Schizosaccharomyces pombe: one gene and its partner. The gene in region 2 interacts genetically with the main gene of each other region. Each region holds a gene or a part of one and is shown on either strand. Other genes may lie near its edges.

Evidence for each region. Genes that interact genetically often act in the same process or in processes that back each other up.
Region 1: of rfc1 (region 2) and rfc5, a mutation in one rescues a mutant of the other (synthetic rescue), as found in Schizosaccharomyces pombe (one study listed by BioGRID).

Annotation. Positions count from the first base shown.
Region 1 is NC_003423.3:1,533,921-1,537,983, forward strand, and holds rfc5 (DNA replication factor C complex subunit Rfc5), read right to left. Parts: upstream 2,192-4,063; 5' UTR 2,136-2,191; coding exon 1,941-2,135; exon of another isoform or gene 1,880-1,940; coding exon 1,687-1,879; exon of another isoform or gene 1,545-1,686; coding exon 856-1,544; 3' UTR 501-855; downstream 1-500. Other genes in the region: yhm2 (tricarboxylic acid transporter), read left to right, coding at 1-264; ribosome biogenesis protein wdr74, read left to right, coding at 2,979-3,018, 3,068-3,186, 3,347-3,886, 3,948-4,045. UniProt on the Schizosaccharomyces pombe protein: The elongation of primed DNA templates by DNA polymerase delta and epsilon requires the action of the accessory proteins PCNA and activator 1.
Region 2 is NC_003423.3:3,851,874-3,858,327, forward strand, and holds rfc1 (DNA replication factor C complex subunit Rfc1), read right to left. Parts: upstream 4,150-6,454; 5' UTR 4,070-4,149; coding exon 3,998-4,069; exon of another isoform or gene 3,930-3,997; coding exon 3,811-3,929; exon of another isoform or gene 3,763-3,810; coding exon 3,703-3,762; exon of another isoform or gene 3,643-3,702; coding exon 1,089-3,642; 3' UTR 784-1,088; downstream 1-783. Other genes in the region: rib3 (3,4-dihydroxy-2-butanone 4-phosphate synthase), read right to left, coding at 1-340, 384-501, 550-586; rgp1 (protein sat1), read left to right, coding at 4,481-4,823, 5,114-6,423. UniProt on the Schizosaccharomyces pombe protein: The elongation of primed DNA templates by DNA polymerase delta and epsilon requires the action of the accessory proteins PCNA and activator 1. Subunit 1 is essential for cell cycle progression.

The sequences.
Region 1 (4,063 bases), 2.3 Mb from region 2:
CAACGGTTTGTTGCTAGTGTGTCTGCTGGTGCTCTTAGTTGTTGGAATCAACCACTCGAGGTCGCTCGCGTTGAGATGCAAAGTTTGACCAAGGGTATACAACATTCCTCACCTGGTATTATGCAAACCATAATGAGCATTTACAAGAATAATGGAATTAAGGGTCTTTATCGTGGTGCCGTCCCCCGTATGGGTCTTGGTGCTTACCAAACATTCGTCATGGTCTTTTTAGCGGATTGTGTTCGTGGGTATTTAGCAAAGTGAGGTTTTTTTGACTTTGTTCATCCACTGTCACCACAAACTTCTTTTTTCTTATTAAGACACCGTCTTTAACTGTAATCTTTGCTATCTTTTTTAACAACCCTTGTTTTTTATATCTTTCATTTTCATTGTCGCGTGGTAAATTTGTTAGTTTCTTTACATTTACCAGATGCATTACAATTTGAAACTTTTCCCTGAAATCCTCGGATTATAGTTTCTTTCTCTTTTTTTGAATCATTTGTAATAGTAGTTTATTCCGTATATTAGATATATAACAGTTTTATATAGTATTAGACATTTTCAGCATATTTATCAAAAACAAAGTTTCTTTGAAACAATGTTAATAACTCAGTTTGTTTTTATAAACTCCATTTTACTGAAAGTGTACCAAAGGAATATACAAACAAAATACTGTAGCGACTTCCTTTCGATTAATCTTTTTCAATAATAGCGGGCGTAGCTCAGAAACTAGAGTTTGACTCAAAAGAAAATCAATAAATACACGGTCCAATAAAGTGGGATAGTTTTTCGCTTAAAATTACAAAATCAAGATGCACAAGTATAGTATAGACATTCTAGTAATCACCGAAAAAGCTAATAAGAAGGTAACTCCATACCTAGTTGTAACATAGCATAAACTTTCATAAAATATGCAACAAAAGCCTCTAGGTGAAAAATTGATTTGTTGCCCATCCGAGTCCTATGTTCATAATTCGCTGCAGCTTGAATTAAGTATGGATGCAATTTAGTGTCCACTTTTGAAAGAAAAAAAGACAGAAGTTCCTTCAAAATTGTGGTAGGGGGAATGCAGTGAGAAAGAAGATCATACAGCATTGAGCGAACAGCCAGGATACGTGCAGGGCTTTGTTCTTGAAGCATGGAATCACCGACCTGCTGGATAAATGTTTGCCAATCAGGCAAAGGGAGTTGCGCACCAGTATCGATTAGTTGCTTGTTGCCTGGAGATTTTGCATGAACGGTCTCTAAGAGCAAGATGGCTTTTCTAAGATTCCGATCACAATTATTCGCTATATTATTAAGCAGAGAATCCGGAGCTTCAAGGCCTTGGGCTGTCAAGATTTTAGACATTACCAGGATAATTTCCTCTGGCGTAGGGGCTGCAACACGAACCATTAACGTACGAGATCGAATAGGCTCAATAATTTTCGACGTAGAATTGGCAATTAAGATCAGACGAATGTTATTGGAATATTTTTCCATGGTACGACGAAGAGCCGCTTGAGCGTCTCTAGTTAATTCGTCAGCCACATTGATTACAACGACTAAGGAGCATGTTAGTACGAGCGCAGATAAAAATAAGGAAAAGAATTGAAAGTTCACCAACCAGAATATAACATGAGACACCTAGGAACAAAAAAGAGCACAAAAATTCCATATTGATTTCACTTTACAGTGAAGACATACCTTTAAATATCTTTTTAGCTTGTAAGTCAACTTGTGCAGATTGAGCCACATCTTTTAAAAGCTCCTGCATAATGACTCGGTCGTAATTTCCGACATCGCTGGGCGTAATTTCCAAATGATGAAGACTTGATACAATATTGATCTGTAATTTTTTACTACTAGGAGTCAAGAAAGTTCTTTGATCGATTTTCAACTACATTCATTGTGAGCATGTATATTTAATTAAATGAAAGTCAGACTATGAAGAAACATACCTTCTCTGAGCCAGGTCCATACAATTCTCGTAATATAGCAACCACCCGAGTTTTTTTTCCTGCTCCGCTGGGCCCATACACTAACAAATGGGGAAACTCATTAGTAGACGACAAGGAAATAAGACGTTCTGAGAGTTGTTTGTGATAGTCCAAAGATGCAAGCGTCTTTGGACGGTATTGATCTAACCAAAGCATTTATTCCAAGATTTAAAGGTTGGAACTCGGTTTTTGGTAAAACCCTTCAGTAACGCAAAGGACAAGTGGATGTACTTAATGGAGAAATACAACGTGCATGTCAGTGTATTACACCAAATTGTTAGATGATAAAACTTTTAACTTCTAAACAAACCGAACTGTTTTTCCCATTAAAATAAGCTCTTCAAGATACCTTCCGTTCTCGCTAGTTTACACATATTATGGAAGTTACTGAACATTGTATTTGAGTGGGAAGTATTTTACAACACTTGGTAATTTTATTGTTTATTCAATTCTATTTCGTAGAGCGCTCTAACTTCATTATCGATAAACATTTGAAGCTGTTACATAGTTCAAACTTCTTCTCGTATACTTACTGACCAAACTATGTTTTTCCACCTTGCTTTATTCCTATAAAAAAAATAACTGTTTAAGAAATTATTTAAATCCCATTCATTGATAAGGCAACTTGACACGCTAACGTTGTAAACTTTCAATTAAATGAATCAGCTGCAAAACTCAGTTTCCTTTGACGAGCACTTATTCTATAGAAAATGATATATTACAATTCTTCTTATATTCAAGTACATGTGAGCGATTAGTCCGTTTACAACCTTTTTTTATCGATAAGCTAAATTATCCATTCAATAAATGACATTTCCTAAATTAAATTGACAATTCATTCTTTTTTTTATTTTACCTTGTAAGGTTTTTTAAAATGGTTTTAAAATTTGCCCTTTAAAAGGACACGTTCCTACCTTCGTGGTGAAAGTTTTTCTCATTACCCATTTCAACAACCAAATCGATTCTTGCGATATACGACAAAAGTTGTAGTATTTCAAGATGAAATTGCTTCTTGGTGATGAAATCGGGCAATTAAAATGTAAGAAATCCACTCACAAGTTCGTCGGTACTAATAAAGGTGATTATAGTCATAGAAATAAAAAAAGGTACTGACACCTCAAACCCCGAGTCAGAAGCACCAGTTATTCAGAAATTTGGAGAGTTAGATCGAGAAAAAGGAGTGCTTTTTATGTTGAAGCATGAAATGGTACGGAATTTTTGAGATTTCTGTGATAACGCATTATGAACTAAAAAGAAGCAACTTTATTGACGCTTGTTTCTTCGTTACTATTATCAAATGGATTGCGCGTTACTAGGATATCCTGTGTTTATATTTCGAAAAACACTGATTAACTTGTTAATTTTAGAATGTATTTGTCGCTCGGAAAAATGGTACTATTGAATGTTGGAACGTTAACCAAGAACCACCTATTTTGTCTAGTCTTTGGCAATTGGACAGCTCTTTATTAGAGACTGCTTCCATAGTTTCCATGAAATACTCTAATGGTTGGCTAATGCTTGCTTTAAGTGATGGAAATTTGTTGTTTAGACACATTGAATCTTCGAAGCTTCGAAAACTTCAATTACATGGCCCCCTGTCCGCTGTTGAGTTACATCCAAGAATACCAGGAATAATCGCTGCTGGAGGAAAAGAAAACGATGTTTGTTTGTATTCTTGCAATCCTACGTGCAAATCGAACATTGATGAACTAGAACTTTGGCGAACAGAAAACGTGGTAAAAGTTTTCCAGGGAAAAAATGTAAAAAATGACTCCCTGAATCTTAGAGTGCGCGTGTGGATCACTGGAATTGTGTTCACGGAAGATATTATTAATGTTATTGACGGAAAGTCCGAAGACGATGAAAGTCTGTGCTTCCATTTTGCTACGATTACTCATTATGGTCAGGTAAGCAGTTGATAATATTTTGATTATTCACAGTATTGAACCTTTATTTAACAACAAATAGTTACGCTTTTATGATACGAAACACGGCCGCCGCCCGGTTTCCACATTTGATGTCTCTACTTCACCATTAAGTCATGTTGGTTTGCTTCCTTCAATCAAGTATGTTTTATCGATTTT
Region 2 (6,454 bases):
TAATTCACAGATAGCTCCTACAGGCGGTAAACCAGCAAGCTTGCACAAATCCACCGCAGCCTCCGTATGACCATCTCTTTCCAAAACACCGCCGTCTCGTGCTCTTAAGGGAACAATGTGTCCTGGTCGATTAAACTCACGAGGAGAAGTTACTTCTGGATTGGCTAGCTGTCGAGTCGTTAATGCACGATCGTGAGCGGATATTCCAGTGGTAGTACCGTTGGCATAATCCAAAGTAACTGCATATGCTGTTCGCATACGATCCTCGTTATTATCTACCATCATAGGAATTTCTAGAGAATCCAAACGTTCACCAGTCATGGGTACGCAGACATACCCACTATTTATTAGCATTTCAAACAATTCCATGTCGTTTTGCATACCTAGAATGCCTGACTAAGAATGCCATTTGTTCGGTAGTAACTTTGCAACCTGCAATAATCAGATCTCCTTCGTTTTCACGCGTTTCATCGTCTAACACTATTAAAAACTTTCCATCCCCTTGTCATGATATTAGCGTTTTATCTTTTTAAAAAGAAATATGCTTACGAAAGTCATTCACTGCTTCCTCAATTGATGCAAGCATTCTGGTATTTGGCAGCTTTTCAGATGCTCTCTGCTAAGTTTACTAAGCACTTAGCTCACCATAACTCTGATAGTTAACACAGCAATGTAGCGTACTTAGATGAAACGATATAATTATTAATAATAAAAATAATTTTATACATTTTAAACCGCCTGTCAATTAGCTTTTATTTTACTGACTCAATTACAAATGATATGGTTCACGATAGCTTTATTGAAAATACCACTCACCGAATTTTTAAATCTAACCTTGCAAATACGGTCATGCTAAATATGATATAATATATCTTATAAACATTAAAGTATGTAACGGACAAAAGAACACACATTTAAGATTAAGAAAATTTGAGCATATCTTACCAGAACTGTAAAATCCACCAAAAAATCTATATTATTTACTATTGTTGCAAAGTAATTGAAAAGTATTCGCAAATTTCACTTACTCAGCAATATAATCCCGATAACTCATATACAATCCGTAAAAGTAATATTTTCAGAGCTTTTTAAGCTGTCTTTTTTCTGGATCGGCGACTGGTTGAGCTAGAAGAGGACGCTTCAGCCTTTGCCTTAGTCCTTTTTTTAGGTTTCTTTGGTACCGAAATAAATTTGTCTTTGCTTAAATCTATGTCCTCTTCATTAGCAGCCTCTGAGTCACTAGCTTCTTCTAACATCTCATCTTCGGCTTCAATTGCATCTTCGACATCCGGCACTTCGCGCTGAGCAGAGCCCTTCATAGGTAAAACATCACTACTTCCAAAGAAGGCGATGGGGTGACTCGAAGAATTGTATTTTCTTGTGAATGCAGATTTTGCAGCAGTCGGTATGGTTTTCATGAGTTTCTCACCTGCATCTGCAGGAAGAACTAATTCCGTTATTGAATCAAAATCTTCACGATTTAGATAATATTCATCCATCAATTCAATGATTTCTGGAACGACGTCTGAATGGCCTGTTGATAGCTTTACAGGCAGAGACTCATACAATATTGGAATATAATGCTGCCGCAAGTCCAATTTATTAGCGGATACTTTTAAACGCATGTGTACTTGTATCTCACGAAGCATACGATATAATTTATTTGTCTTCGAGTTATTACCCAACCAATTAGTAAAGCGAATCTGCCTGGAACCGGAACCAGCCACGAAAGAAGCAGGTCGCACGCAAGACATAAGAGCATGGGTTGGCATAAGTGACCAGTGTTGTTGAGGACCATGAATCATTGAATCAACAAGATCAGAGTCGGAAAAGGAGTTAGCAGCACTAGATATTAATTCTAAATGCTTCAAATGTGACATTTTCGGTGGTTCTTGACGAATTCTATCTGGTGTAGTATTAAGGTAGTTTTCTTGAACCATAAGATAAGAAAATTCGTGATCATTAAAATACAGCTCTAATTTATCATTAATGGTGGACTTGCTTGATGGATGAAACATTCCTCCATGTAAGTAACGACTACAGATATCCCATGGTTTCATAACGATATGCTTTTCAGAATTTTTAATAACAGCTTGGCTATTTTGAGGTGTCATTTCTGAACAGCTTAACTTGTAAGTGGATAGCAAATTAATAATTTGGCGCATATCGGACTGCGTCCCCTGAACCAGTTGATCGACTGCTTGTGGTGACAATTTGAGACCTTCACGATACGCTATAGACATTATTCGGGATCGCATTGAATTAGCATCTGGCCGACGGAAACGGAGGTCAAACGTAGTACGGTCAAGGGGCCGCAGCTTTGGATGAGCACGGTCATTGCAAATACAAATAATTGGTATCATGCTTTTTTTAATAATCATATTCAACTGACCAACGCCTCCACGATCACCCGATGACATGCCATCGATTTCGTCCATAATGAGTACAAGTCGGGACTTTGCCATGTCAACGGGGTTAGCTTTTGTGCCAAAGTAGCCGGCAAGTGATTGACTATCTGTCACACCGAACAGCTGCTCATCTAGCAAGCGCTTGCTTCTAGTGTCACTAGCGTTCAGTTCCAAAACATCGTAACCTTCTAATTTTGCTACCAAATGAGCAGCAGTCGTCTTGCCAATACCTGGAGGACCAGAGAGTAATACGGCTTTGTATAGACCCAGACCATCAGGTCCAGGTTTATTAAAGTTGGACTTCCTGTTTTTGTGGTAATCCTGTAGCCACTTTTGAAGTTTTTGAACGACACCCTTATTACCACAAATATCCTTTAAAGAAGTTGGCGCATATTTTGAAGTCCATATCTGTGAAGGTTGTGATTCCTTTTTATTACTATCGTCCATTCTCGCAACAGTTTCAAGGATTTTCTTTTCTTCTTGTTCCTTTTTCTGTTGAGCAGCCTGAGCCGCAGCACCCGTTCCTCCTGAAGCAGGAAGATGAGTTATAAGATAGAAGAGTCCATCCTCGTTAATAGCAGGAATCTTGTGTTGTTTAATTGTTTCCACTTTTCTTGGACCAGCATTCTCACCTAAGAGAATAAAGTCTGTTCTAACAGAAGGTGCACCTGTCACTTTTCCACCATATTGTTTGATCAGGTCTGTAGCCTCTTGTCTAGTTAAAGTCTCTAGAATTCCTGTAATAACAAAGCTAATTCCCGAGAGACAATCGCTATTGCCTTCAGGGACGGGTTTTGAGCCTGGAGTTTGTGTTGTAGCCGCCCGTTCATAGAAAGTACCTGGAGCCATCACACCCATAGAGTCTACGTCAATTAAAGGAACATTTTTGAGGGCTTGGGAAACTTCGTCTGAGAACCTAGGTAAGCCTTTCGACTTGCTAGAACGACTTGTGTGAGTTGTCGCAGTTGTGGTATGAGATTTTGACTTTGAAGTTGTCGATTTTTCTGCTTTAGGTTGAGCAGGTTTACGTGTAGCTCTAGTTTGATGGACAACTGGCTTACTGTCTGAAGTGGTATCCAAGTCATTGGCAAAATTTTCTGTTTTTACAGGATGTACGACATCTTTGGAAGTAGTAGTTTCTTTATTGGAGATAATCCGCGGTTTAGAACGTGACCGAGTAGACTGTTGTTCAAAGTACTCATCAGGTGTAGTTGAAACTCCATCTGAACCGACACTAAACAAAAATTCAAATTAGCGAACAACGCATAATGAGGTAAAAGTAAAATAAACATACAGTTTATCGTCTTCATGAACAATGGATGGCAAAGAATGGGAAATATCTTCCGACTCATTACTAGTTGGAGGGTTAGAAATATAAACTGATAACCCGAATTAAACGAACCGTTTTTGCACTTTGCTTTTGGATGCAGGAACTTTTGAATTCTCTATTGTACCATCTTCATCATCTGATAAAACGATTCTTTTTTTCTTCAAACTCCTTTTTGGTTTTGGGGAAGTAGGCTAGACAAAGACGTTAGAAAATGAATGACTAGCTTATCAAATTTGACTGATTGAAGAAACAAACATACAGTCGGTGAGACTTTTGGCTTTTTTTGAGCGTTCCCTCCTCCAAAGAAGCTTCGAATGTCAGAATTACTCATTTCCGACGATGAATAACAATTACCCAATTCCTGAGAAGCTACTGTCTAACTTCCAAAAAAGCAGTGTATGTATGTATATTGGGCGACAATAGCAAGGAATGTGACAATTTGCCAAAAGCAGAGAGTTAACAAAGCTTCGTTAAAACATTCGTAAATGAGTAAATTAAGGAATAGTAAGGAGAGTGTAAAAAATTGATTGTGGGCGTTCGTTATTTAATCTCGTAAAATGAGTCGTGGAGGAAGAAAAGTGGGCTCTTTTACAGTACTATTTTGATTGTGCATTTGTTACGAGACTAATAAACGTTCGTCAATACGAATGAAGAAATCCAAGTTGTATGGTTATTATTAAGGTAAAGCTGAAGCCAGCGGCTTGAGAAATTATCGAATATAAGAGTTTAGTGGTGTTCGACAATGACAGAATGTGATGTGCAAATGTACATGCCAGTGAATGTAGTTCAATCCGGAACTGACTTTGAGTGCATTGTAAAATTCACGAATCTAAGGAGTTCAGAAGATGTAAATTTACTTTTGTGCTATGCTTCTATCCATGGTGAAATGTACCTTGACTATGTACTGGTGCGCGTTACAGAATTCGATGAGGTTCAGAGGCAGGGGCTCTTAAACAAAAGGACAATGAGCGGATTAGTACATATTCCCAAGGTATCCAGCAGTTATTCTGTTATTAATACTCTGAACGGGATGATTGGAAATTTATTTGGAGTTAAACAAGCAAGTACATTGACAGAGGCCTCAGGTATGTAATGGTGAAAGGGTGCAAAAGGAAATAAAGACTTGGTAAAAAAAATCTCTCAATTGGCTTACATTTGGAGGGAAGATATAGCTCGGAAGAGTGCTTATACGGTGAGGTGGACATAAAGTCAATTGACGAATTACAGAAAGGTTGTCTGGGAAGAGTTTTGTAATTCATTTGAAACATATTTACTCTTTATTCAATTTTTTTTTTTTTTTTTTTTTTTTTTGGAAGATGGTTACTCTTATTTTTACTGCAACCTACTGCTTAAGCATGAATACTAACCGATAAAGAACAAAAGCAGGAAAATGCCATTCCAGTGCTACTGACTCGTCCAGATATATTAGGAGTCGATATCACGCTTTCTCCTGGAGAGGAAAAATGCTTTCGGTTGAAGCGAAGAATTCCCCTTCGAACAGCACCTACATATAAAGGATTGGCCTTTCGATTTCAACACGCACTGGTCATAGGAGTCCAATCAGCTACCAACAATGCTTGTGTAGAGCATGAATTTGAAATTACTATAGTACCCAACGTTCAACAGCAACCTGAACTGCCACTCGGAAAGAATTCGGGAAACAGACAATCCTCGAAGCTGTTTGCAGATTTATCCAAACCGATTATTGAAACAGATGCGGCAGAAATTGAAGAGGTTTCAGCAGAGAAAGCACGTAGGCAATTCGGTAAAAACGGTATACGACTTTCGCAGGATGCGCAGGAGGAAGAGAAGCAAAAAAAGAAATACGAGCAACACATAAAAAAGCTACTTGATGGAGAGTCTAATGAAGAGGGAGGAGGAGAATTCCAAGATCATGGAATGAGGTCAGAGATCAATGAAGAAGTATTAGAGGAAGAGGATGAAGAAAAAATTGCGTTGTTAAAAAAACTCGAATCCAAGCAACCAATGGCCACGAGGTTTGAGATTACAAGCAAACAAAAAGTGTTATGTCGATTGCTTTTGAGCAAAAGCAGATATCGGACAGGAGAGATGATGATGATTGAGCTAGAAGGACTGGACGCGATGGTTCGACAAGTGCATATGCAACTTGAAAGTGTGGAGCGTATTGTGCCAGACATCCGTATACGCAACAGCGTAGGGACGGAGAGGGCGACGCGAAAAGTGTGGTGTAGAATTACACGGGGAGTGTTTGAGTTGGAAAACATGAGCGCTTCGATGGTTGTGCCGGAGGAATGTCCGGAAACATTTGAAACACAGCAATTTGGAGTGGAACACTTTTTGCGGGTGGAATTGTTAAGGGCGGTGAACAAGAAACGTGAGATGCAGGGACCGGCGCATCCCCGATATAGTGAAGAGGTGCAGAGTCCGAGTCGATCGAGATACAGTGAAGAAGTACAGAGGGTGAGTGAAGGTAGATTGAGCGAAGAGGTAAGCAAGGAGGAAGAGAAGAAAGGAGGGAGGGAGAGCGGTCAGCACAAGCGAATGGCATCGCTAACGAATTCGCGAGAGATGCAAATCCAGCATGCACCGACAACGTTTGCGGCAGAGACGATTCAATGTGTTTTGCCGATTCGAATTGAAAAGCGAGTTGTGTGGATGGAAGATGGAATGGAAGGAGGGATGGAGGGGATGCAACCGGTTTAGCCAAACAATTGAGTAATCCGATCGTTGATCA